Linked DNA regions of Arabidopsis thaliana. The protein of the gene in region 2 interacts with the protein of the main gene of each other region in a pairwise test. Each region holds a gene or a part of one and is shown on either strand. Other genes may lie near its edges.

The links.
Region 1: the proteins of AT4G23860 (region 2) and AT4G17810 interact in a two-hybrid assay, tested with the Arabidopsis thaliana proteins (one large-scale study listed by BioGRID).
Region 3: the proteins of AT4G23860 (region 2) and WLIM2b interact in a two-hybrid assay, tested with the Arabidopsis thaliana proteins (one large-scale study listed by BioGRID).

The regions. Positions count from the first base shown.
Region 1 is NC_003075.7:9,905,151-9,908,669, reverse strand, and holds AT4G17810 (C2H2 and C2HC zinc fingers superfamily protein), read right to left. Parts: upstream 1,850-3,519; 5' UTR 1,753-1,849; coding exon 1,138-1,752; 3' UTR 643-1,137; downstream 1-642.
Region 2 is NC_003075.7:12,407,288-12,411,044, reverse strand, and holds the start of AT4G23860 (PHD finger protein-like protein), read right to left. Parts: upstream 2,039-3,757; 5' UTR 1,880-2,038; intron 1,751-1,879; exon of another isoform or gene 1,748-1,750; 5' UTR 1,710-1,747; coding exon 1,626-1,709; intron 1,512-1,625; exon of another isoform or gene 1,262-1,511; coding exon 1,103-1,261; intron 1,004-1,102; coding exon 731-1,003; intron 644-730; coding exon 1-643. Other genes in the region: LACS4 (AMP-dependent synthetase and ligase family protein), read left to right, coding at 2,782-2,936, 3,367-3,430, 3,519-3,608, 3,726-3,757.
Region 3 is NC_003074.8:20,701,127-20,704,883, reverse strand, and holds the start of WLIM2b (GATA type zinc finger transcription factor family protein), read right to left. Parts: upstream 1,663-3,757; 5' UTR 1,469-1,662; exon of another isoform or gene 1,375-1,468; 5' UTR 1,330-1,374; exon of another isoform or gene 1,294-1,329; intron 1,136-1,293; 5' UTR 1,086-1,135; coding exon 951-1,085; intron 800-950; coding exon 700-799; intron 602-699; coding exon 567-601; intron 474-566; coding exon 384-473; coding exon of another isoform or gene 324-383; exon of another isoform or gene 211-323; coding exon 109-210; exon of another isoform or gene 9-108; coding exon 1-8. Other genes in the region: AT3G55760 (uncharacterized protein), read right to left, coding at 1,998-2,373, 2,711-2,901, 2,980-3,623, 3,711-3,757. UniProt on the Arabidopsis thaliana protein: Binds to actin filaments and promotes cross-linking into thick bundles. Has an actin-stabilizing activity. The actin regulatory activities are not regulated by pH and [Ca(2+)].

The DNA.
Region 1 (3,519 bases), 2.5 Mb from region 2:
CTCTATTTATTATTGTGACGTTTCTTTGTTCTACGTATTTTTTAGAATTAGACTGAATTGAAAGTATTTAATATCGAGATATATAGTTACACCCTTATTGTAGAAGCAACGTACATCACATATTATTTGTGAAATGCATAAACTTACAAGAACTTATTCAATCAAGTTTTTGAATTGATCTCTTAGCTAAAGTCGGGGATAAGACCAGGATTAATTCAAGTTTCTCCCCTACATCGTGATAAAAAAGGCATTAAATATCAGATATATTAGAGAACTTTAGTTAGAAAAAGAAAAACCAGATTCTCTGTCACGAATGATACTTCTGAGTCGCCTGAGCATTAGAAAACTAATTATGACAAGATATCCATAAATCGTTCAAAAAAGATATATAGTTAAATATTTAATCAGAAACTAAATCAAAATAATGCATGTACAAACTACTTAACATGACATGGAGTAATAGAAGTATAAAACGAATGGAATAAATTAAAACTCAGTTCAACGCATATCTCTTCATCATTCCAATACTCCAAAACCCTAAAGCATATGGAAATAGTAAGAACAAATTTGCCTTCTACGAAATATGTAAAAAAATATTGGCTTCTTATCTTCTGTTGAGGAATGGTTTTTTTTTTTTTTTTTAAATGTGTAGACGCTTTTAATAATTTGAAAGTTTTGAGCATTTGAAACAAACTACTGATAATGTTCGTTAATTGTAAATTTTCTCCATCAAACGGAAATTTGAATTCAAAGAGCCTTGTTACTTTTCAAGAAAATCATTACTAAACCAAGTAATGATAAAGACAGAATATATAAAAAGCAATAGTAATCAATACATATATGGGTTCTATGGGATTTCTGAGATGAAATTTAATATAAGTATATACAAATCATATAATGCAGGGTTCATTGTATATATTTCGATCTAACCAATCAAATTAAGTAAACATATACTTGTAAACTTACGCTCTGAAATCAAGGAACCAAAGCATGAAATCGAATGAATTTAATTGTGATACACAATTCAAGCCAAATTGAATTCAGAATTTAACAACAACATGTAAATTAAGATTTAAAGAACCTGTGTATGAATAGATATTAATGTGAAAGCCTCGAGTGGGTCATGAAAATGAAATGTCACGGTGGATGGTGCCCTAGCCGAAGTTCAAGATCAAGCTCATCCACTGATGTTCCTGTCGCTTCTTTCATCGAGCCAATGCTCTCATCATCTCCTGTCGAATATTCAATAAGCCGAGGAGGAACTTCTACTGGAGAATTCAACATTGAAAACGGAAGGTTGCTCGGAGGAAACGAAGTCGTACCATAAAGATTCACCATGTCACCAGAATTACCAAAAATGCCACTAGGGTTTTGCAGTTGGTAGAAATGGGACAAACCTTCAATGTTACTCGCCGTGGATTGTATTATAAGTGTCGTTGTAGGCAACGGCGGAGCACAAGAATTGAGTAACATCCCCCCGTGGCCGCTTCTAGCCGCAGCCGCAACGGTGGAACCTTGATGAGCCCTAGATGAGGCGCGGTCACGGCGGTGGACATTCATGTGACCGCCTAAGGCTTGAGCAGAACGGAACTCACGGCGGCAGAAATTGCAAGTGTAAGATCTTGGAGGCCAAGTGGTACCAGAGATGTTGCCTTTAGTGTCTTGCTCAAAGGCTTTGACTTCCCAAGATTCATCATCATCCTCCAATTCTTCAATTTTGTTAGGGTTCCACATCCATGCACCACCGTTCATTCAAGGATGAGTTTTTTTTGAAAAAAAAAGAGAAATCTCAGTAGAAGATGAAGAATAAGAAGAAGATGGGGTTGGTGGATAATGATGTAAATTCAATAATAAATATAAAGATGGACCCGAAATATATACATAGATAGGTCACTTATCTTCAAAATATCATTTTCAGTAAATGAAAGAAATTTTACCATAATAAATTTTACTGAGTGTAAGAGCACACACATTTTGATTATCACATGTATAATTCAAAATTTGCAAATATAATATACTTTCTTTCTATTAAATCCAGTGCAAACATATTTTAGTAACTTATATATGTTAGAAAAGTAAAAATGAAATCTCATTTTCTATTAATTACTTACATATATTTAGCTACTTTCAGAAATTTACATAAACTTTACGTCTTTATAGAACTCTACACTTTTAGGTGTGTTCTTCTATCTTCGTTGGTACTTTGTTACAAAAAGACATTAAATCATAGATTGCTATGCATTTAATTAATATAGGAAGCCCAATTATAAATAAAAAAATAGTGTGCATTTTATATAAATAGGTGAAGATTTACAGAGGAAAAAGTTGGTTGTGACTTTGATGTCCTATGTAAGGTTAAGACAAAGTTTGTTTGCTTTAAATGGTGAAGCAAAGATCTTAGCTTTGCGTGATCATTACTAAGATTCTCTTGTTAGAATCTGACAAATGACTAGAGTAGCTTTACACTGTGACATTATGACCATATATTTTAGATAATCATCCTACATATGGCTACAATTCGAGATATACATACATTACAAAACTATATATATGTATATAGACACACATGTATGGTGTATGAACTCATATTATATATATTATTTTCTATGTAGAAAAAGATATTATTTTTTTTTCTTATGCCAAATGAAAATTTTATTACAATTTGAAATCTAGGAATATTAAACAATACAAATTTTGGGAAAAAAATGAAAAACAGAAGAGCTGAAAGTGATGGGCCTTGATATCCGAAAGATATTTGCCATGTAAAGTTACATTAACAGTGGTTTCGTTGGGAACTTAGTTAGATTTCAACTAGATCGCTCTTTCGTTGGACCATGTGGATTGCATTTGTTTTGTCATGTTTTTCAAATAAATAAAAACATAAAAAGGGACTTAATTTTCCTTGGAAAATAGTCAAATTACAGTACAATGATAAATCTCAGCCCAAATAAAGGTCATTATGGATCCTTGCGTTTGCTTTCAATGGGCCGTTGGACAAGTACGTAATTTAGGCCTTTTAACGCTCTTTTTATTTTATTTTTGTTTAAAATGCGAAAAAAACTTCATCATGATCAGTGATAAAATATGTTTGTTTATAGGAACACTATATGATTTTAATCCAAAATTAATTGACAATGAGTGTACAAATTTAAGTGCTAATTAAAATTGGGTTAAAAGTTTCAATAATTCCAGTCATTTTAATATCATAAGTTAATTATAAGCATATATAATTTTTCGAGTTTATCCATCACAAACATTAGACGAACGATGTTGAAAAAAGCTTAACCCGATAATATGCATCTCCGAGTTAAACATATATACCAATGTTGGTACTTGTATATCTCATTGGGTCAAAACGTTTGTATGTATATAACTATATTATTGTATTGAAGTTGAGAATAAAGGAAAGATAGATTAAGGGAGAAGCAAACAATGACGTTTTGCCAGCGAAGCTTTTTGGGAGCAAAGAGAATCCTTTTGCAGCTATCAAACGACCGCTTCTCCCGGACGACGACCTTT
Region 2 (3,757 bases):
CCAGTTTCTCTGTTCTTTTTTCCTTCGCCTTCTTCTCGTATTCAACAATTGTGTCCTCTGCATCAAGTAGATAGCTTACCTTTCTCTGCTTATACATCTCAAGGCACTTTTCGCATCTGCATAGGATGTTCCTCCAGTTTTTGGTCAAAAACAAAGGTTTCTTCTCAAACTCAGGACACGAGTTTAGATCAGTCCTAATAACACAACCAGCTGCAGGAACATTTTCAGAGCCATCGATCTTCTCAGAACATTTCCGCACAACGAATTTCTCGGCTTCAGTACTGTTCTCAGGCTGGCCGGCTTCAGATTCATCGATCTTCTCAGAACATTTTTGCACAACAGATTTCTCGGCTTCAGTGCCGTTCTCAGGCTGGCCAGGTTCTGAGTCACTGATCGTCTCAGAACATTTTCCTACAACAGATTTCTCAGCATCAGTACCGTTCTCTGGCTGGCCGGGTTCAGAATCCATGTGGTTTTTGTCTAACTCAATTGTCTCTGAACAAGCATTAGCAGAACCAGTGGAATCTACTTTAGCAACAACCCACAAGTTCTCAGGATAAAGTGTCAGAAACGAACATGCTGGGGAGCAGTTTTGACAAATGAAATCTTCATAGATCGGCTCACTTTCCTCATCCCTTGGAATCTGTTAACATCACATAACAAATTGCACTAAGCGCCAACAACAAAAAAAATCAATCGTAAACAACAAGATTAAGCACTGGCCACAAACCTGGCTACCAACACTGTCTGAAGGTGTGAGACCGAGATGCTCCTCATGAAACCAATCCTCACAGAGACAACACTGAATCATCTCTACTTGTTCTTCCACATTTGGGTCAGGGTAAGGTCGGTCGCAAGTGCAGTACAAGCCTTTGAAATTATGGTTGTAAGAATTTTCAGAGTTTTCTATATCTTTGCTCGGGAGAAGCTTACAAGCCAAAGTTCCAAACTTTGAGTTCCCGCAATCACATCGAAAATTTCTCTTAGTCCACAGCTCCAAAAGCTTCATAACCAGAACAATGTTCAACCATTAGGAAACCAATTAACACTATGAAATCAGATTTCAAAATACATAACCTGGCTATATATCAACCATATTTACCTCATGGCCATCATGACAAGATAAGCAACAAGCAGTGCAAATTCCAGCATTCCCCTCTGGTGTACATGTAATGCATGAGAAAATTGCTTGCCTTTTCATGTAACCCTTTGGGAAAGTACACTCATCTCCTTCATCTCCACCCAACACCAAATCCGCTGCCTTAACATCAAGAATCACAAAAGCAGTTAATGAATATTAAACCCCTAAACCCAAATAACATAGGATTACAGAAACAGATACACACTACTGAAATTAATAGAAACTAATTAAGAGACACACACTATCATTACTAGCTAGCCAAAACCTCAGAGACTGTACAATAACAATCCAACACACTCCACTAGCTTCAGAAAAGGTAGTCAATTTAAGGTCAGAATCCAATTTCAAGACGTTTGTTTACACTTAAATCTAAACGATTTATCACCAACCAAGGAGTGAAAATGTGGAAGAGTATTAAACTTTCGTAAGGATCAGAAACATACATAAGCTTTAAAACTGATCAAGAGGAGAAAGAGAACATTACCAGCTCTTCTGCGTCAAGCCTTTCGATATATTCATTGATCGTTATAGTTCCTTCAGCTTCATCCTCGAAAACACCAGATGCCATTGTCGCAATTATTCTTCACAAATTCCCACCTGAATTCACTACTAAAAACATGAAATTGGGTAAAATAAAAGCTATTCGAAAGACTCAAACGAGATATTCCCTAAATTCCTTAAAAAAAATGAAACCCTAGATTATTCGCAAAACATCAAACATGTCAATCGGACCATTACCAGGTTATTGATGGAGTTCTCAGACTTGTAAAAGCCCTAAAGCTTTTCACTTTTCAAGACATAGATAAACGAAGGCAGAGAGAGAGAGAAATTGGGGAAAACGAAGGTGGAGCTTAAGGGTTTGGAAGAAAGAAGGATCTAGCGGATGTTAAAATTCTTAAATGCGAGAAAATTTATGTATGTTATATAAAGGAAGGGACTTTATCGACATTTTCCCGCCATTAACCCTCCAATTCTATTACCCTTTTCCCTCCACTATCAGCAACTAAGCATAAGCACAAGATAAGTATTGTTACTTGATAATGTACATGTTAATATTAATTTGTATCGAGATTAAACGGATATCAAAATCTCAAATTCTTGCTTATATGGTTTTTTATGAATTGAAAATTTATATTTATTTTTTTGTTTTGATAACTAATGTTTAACAAATATCATATCTGTGTGCAACTAGTCAAATCTATCCACAAACACACATACTAATAGAGTAATAAGCATATTTTTAATTATCGTAGATTAATTGATAACCTCTAAAAAAAAAATTAAATTGGGGGATAAAATATTGATAAAATCTAAAGTTATTTAAATCAAAATCACACACTTTTTGTTTTGTTTCTTGACATCTTAATTATAAAATCTAAATATTGGCTAATATAAATTTCAATTTGGATAATATGACTTTATTGGGCCTAATATGATGATACGTATACGGCCCAATAAGAGGTTGAATATGACTTTGACTTTTTCAGGTTTATGGTCAGTGAGTAGCAACCAATCGCAGTCGTAGTTGAAAGTCTCTATTAACTTCTTCTCCGATCTGAGAAAACGCGTCAGAAGTTTCTCGTTCTACAGATAGAGAGAGAAGAGAACGAGAACGAAGTAGAGAGAGAGAGAGAGAGATCATGTCGCAGCAGAAGAAATACATCTTCCAAGTTGAAGAAGGCAAAGAAGGTAGCGATGGAAGACCATCAGTTGGTCCAGTGTACCGGAGTATCTTTGCCAAGGACGGATTTCCCGACCCGATCGAAGGAATGGATAGTTGTTGGGATGTTTTCCGGTGAGATTTCTCGTTTAACCGATCGGAGTTTGTGTTGCATGAGCCTCGTTTCCGATTCTTGCTGAGATTTTGATCCTTGATCTGTTGACTGATCATGGAATTTGTTCTGACTTGCGTTTTTTGCTCTTTATGGATTCTCAAGTAGTAAGAATCGTATAGTTTAATTTCGTCTAGTGTTTATCTGGATTTGATTCATGTTTGTTTAAGTTTTTCGGATCGCAAGATCTACCTAAGTTGCTCTAATCGATAGAAATATAATTTGTTGGTTAATGATTTTGCCATTTGTCTATAATAACATCGTTTTGAGTGGCATGTGATTAATTAACAGTTGCATGAATTTGGTTGACATTTTTTGTTTTGCTTTGTGTGTGGTTTGGTGATATTTTGTGGTTGTTGACTTACATTTTTCTACTGTTATTGTTTATTGCAGCATGTCTGTTGAGAAGTATCCAAACAATCCAATGCTGGGACGCCGCGAGATTGTAGATGGAAAGGTGTTGTTACTGTTTGTTATTGATTTTGATTTTGTGATTTTCGTTTCATGTTATTATAAAATTCACTTGTTATTTTGATTGTTCTTAGCCGGGTAAGTATGTCTGGCAAACATACCAAGAAGTCTACGACATTGTCATGAAACTTGGAAATTCTCTCAGAAGTGTTGGAGTTAAGGACGTAAGATCCATCTTTTTCCTTTCAGATATCTATATTCAGTCTCATTATTTCCTTTTTTTGTCGCAATGTGATTATTCCCTTGCTTAATCTTGTGTTTCCTGATATGTGGGATATTAGGAAGCAAAATGTGGTATCTATGGTGCAAATTC
Region 3 (3,757 bases), on a different chromosome or scaffold from region 2:
ACTGTTACCTGCATATTTCAGAATCGAAAAAGACGGATATTTGTGACCAAATAGCTTTTAAAAATCCCATAAAGAGTTTTCATATTAAGTCTCCTTTATAGGTTTAACATGCAAATTAAAGTAACAAGAACCGATATCTCCAGGGTCTATGCATCTGTGCAAAACATTTGGTTTCCTTGCAAGTTCTCGGTAACTGAGGGGATTATGTATCTATCCTCAACATGAAATAGAAAACACAGGAGAATTCTTGCAAATGATGGAACTGTGTTTTAGAGTAATACTCCAACATAGACCTTAGAGTGCAGAAAGGTGATTCCAAAGCTTCAGTTAATGGAAAATGCATGAGTGAAGGAAGAGCAATGAAAGATTAAACGAGTTATAACCTTTTCAATAGGATACACAGTTTTACTACAAGTGGCGCATTTCTCTTGTGTACCAGAGAACCTGCCAGCAACTCGGCTAGGCGTCCTTGTCTGAAAACAAACCAAGAAGGAAATATAAGAGAAAAGTTCAATCAGAAAATGTATCCAAAGAGCATCTGACCAAACCAGAAAAGAAACATTTACCAGCTCAGGAGTTGATTTGTCAGCCGATTTTGCAGCTGTGAGGAAACAAAGTTGCAAGACTGATTAAATCAATAACCAAAAGAAGGGCAAGCGGAAAAAAAACATGAATCGAAGCAGAAACAAAACTACATACGTGACTGAAAGTTCTTGTTGAAACTACCACTCTCCTTAAAGAGCTGCTCAAAATGAGGCTTACAGTACAAAACACCTTCCATTGATGAGTAACTACTCAGCTGTAAAAAGACATTTACTTTATCAAGAGCTGCTTATGGTTACAATAGACATTCAATTCATCATTTAAGCAAGAAGATGGGTAATTCGTAAACTCATTCCTCTAATTAAAGCAGCATCGTTAACATGAATACAAAGATGAGAGAATCAGACCTGAAGCCTGCTTTTGCAGTGAGTGCATTTGAAGCAAGACTTGTGATATCCAACTCCATCAGCAGAGAGAAGCTCAACAGCATAAACAGTCTTCTCACAAGCCTTGCATTTCTGTTGAGTTCCTGTAAAAGACATCCTCAAAGCCTTGCCTTCACTTTTCTCACCTTCTTCTTCTTTTTCTCACCCTAAATTTCAAAAAACCCAGAAAAAATGGTATAAGAGGAAACCCCTTTGGAAAAATCTTTCCTTTTTCTAAATATTCGAATAACAAAATCGATCCATTGCTAATTGAAACAAGATTGTATCTATACGAAGCCGATCTAGATAGAATGAGATCGTAAACCTTGAGAAAGTTTATCACAAAGTACGGATCTAATACCTCTCCTTGAGCTAAACCCTGTCACGATCTGATCCTCAAAAGAAACTGCAAAAATACACGAATACAGATTAACCAGAGAAAGATTTGAGAGATGTAAGGATGCAAAAGTCAACTTCTTTGTAGAGAGAAGAGCTGTTACGTATATCTCTCCCCAATTAACGAAAAAGGAGGATCTATGTGACGATGATGAGGACGAAGTAGAAGAAGAAGATGATACAGCAAAGGAATAAGAATATCGGAGATTTTGGGTAAAATCCTTTTCTTTTTTTTAATCTTTGAGAAGACAGTGGGTGGGGTTCCACTTTGGCTTGTCCTCTGTATATTTTTTTTATTAGAATTTAATACAAATGTAACTGAAGATTATTATTGGTTACAGAAAATATTTGTCTTCTTATCTTTACCAAATAAAGAGTTTAGATTATCTGTTCATATAACTTTATGCTCCTGGAATGGAATGTGTTCCAGTTTTCTAATCAGATTTGTGTTATATTAGTAACTACCAAATAAACTTTGGCCATACTCATTAAGAAACACCAAAGCATAGAACAAATTAGAAGTCATAATAAATATTACATACATTGCACTTGATCAAACTACTCTAATATTGTAGGCCAATTCTTTGATTGTCCCAGCTTATTTATATATTTTATGCTTAGTATTTGATATATCTAGGACATATCAGAAGGCTTCTTAACGGCTCGGAGCTGAACAGAGTTGTCAAAACAGTGGAAGAAGCCAAAGTGAGGGAACTTCTCATACCAAGTTTCTTGTGGTACATGTGTGTCCCAGTGTTCACCGCTGCTGCTTTTTCCGTATTTGTGAACCCATCCTGATCCGTTGTGACCTTCTCCCCAGCTTCGGTTCCATCTGTCGCCGTGCTTCCCTTCCCACCAAGTCTCACCTTGTTTCACTCCTTGAGCGCTCGGGTTAAAGTTCTCGTCCCATTTGTCTCCCCATTTGTCCCAACCGTCACCTACCCACCGTTCCGCCCACTTGTCTGTGTACTTTGTGCTTCCGCCTTGCCCGTCATACTTCTCTCCCCACCTGGTCAAAACCAATCAAGACATATTTAGAAACACTCTACATTCCCTGTTATTTGGTCACAGCTTGTCTAGTGTCAGTTCTGTTTTGATAACAGTTCAACAAAGCTCGCAGACTAAGCTTCTAAATGTTAATAGAGCACCTTAAAGAGTATGAAAAGGCAATGTTTTGCTACTGAACTGATTTGATGTTCAACAATATAAGGTGTAAAAGTTAAAGGACAAACATTCTAACTTGTGTTAAAGAGATTGATTGATATTTTAAGGACTGAAAGTTAAAGGATAAAGATTCGATTATGTTATTAGTGTTTCGTTATGTGAAAAGAGGATTTTGAGAATACCTCTCGTGCCAGACATGAGCGTGGCCAGCGTCAAGAGGCGTGTTGCGGTCAATGCTGCACCACTTATGAGCCCATTTTTCTGATTTTCCGGTAGCATCGTAATGCTCCCACCATTTCTCTTGCCATTCATCACCTTGTCCACTCTTTCCCCATTTGTCTGCAGTTTTCTCCATATGCACAACACCATTCTCCTGTAATAGACAATTCAAATTAAGTCTCAAATAGTCTATAGTGCGTTAGATTTACTACGGCAACTACTTTACACTAACCTGGCTCATTGACTCTCTCCAGAACTCACGCCACACGTTTCCAGTGGCATCACGTCCTGATTTCTCAGAACCAAGTTCCTTGAACCCAAAATCATCAGAAGCCTCCCAATACTTATCTTGCCACTCAACAACACCATCAGCAGTAACCCCACGTATCATTGTCCACCTGCAAACCACACCATCAGGTCTTTTCTCCACACCCGTTTGCTTCCACCACTTCAATCCATCTTCGCTAACTCCATGCGTTGAAGATTCATCCAAACTATCAAGAACACGAGCTACTTCTTCCGCGTTTGCTGAAGATATGAGATCAAGGTCATGTTCTGTCGATAAAGTCTCGGAGCTAGGCTTCGTCTCAGCCTCTTTTCGAACCTCAATCAAAGACTCAAAAGGCGGGATAGTAAAGCTATGTCTTTCAGAAGAAAGCATACTCTCATATGGTATCGAAAGAGAATCCGCTGATTTATCTTTCTCCAATACAGGATTTGGCAAAGTTGGAAACTCAGCAGGCTTTTCCACAGCCTGCAAGTCCACAGAACTAATTTCACTACCTTGAGGAGGTGTCCATGACCAAAAATCTGGTCCTGGTGTCTCAGTCCCTGAAGTTTCTGACCGTGGCACATACACTGTTCTGCTCCACATTCCTAATAAAATTTCCAATAACATAGCCAAGTAAGGTGACTAATACTATCATTAACTTTGGATTGTGCTAACAAGTAGAAGATTTGTACCAAGTTTAGCATTTTTCGGTGTCTCTGTGACTTCACTTGTGACAGTG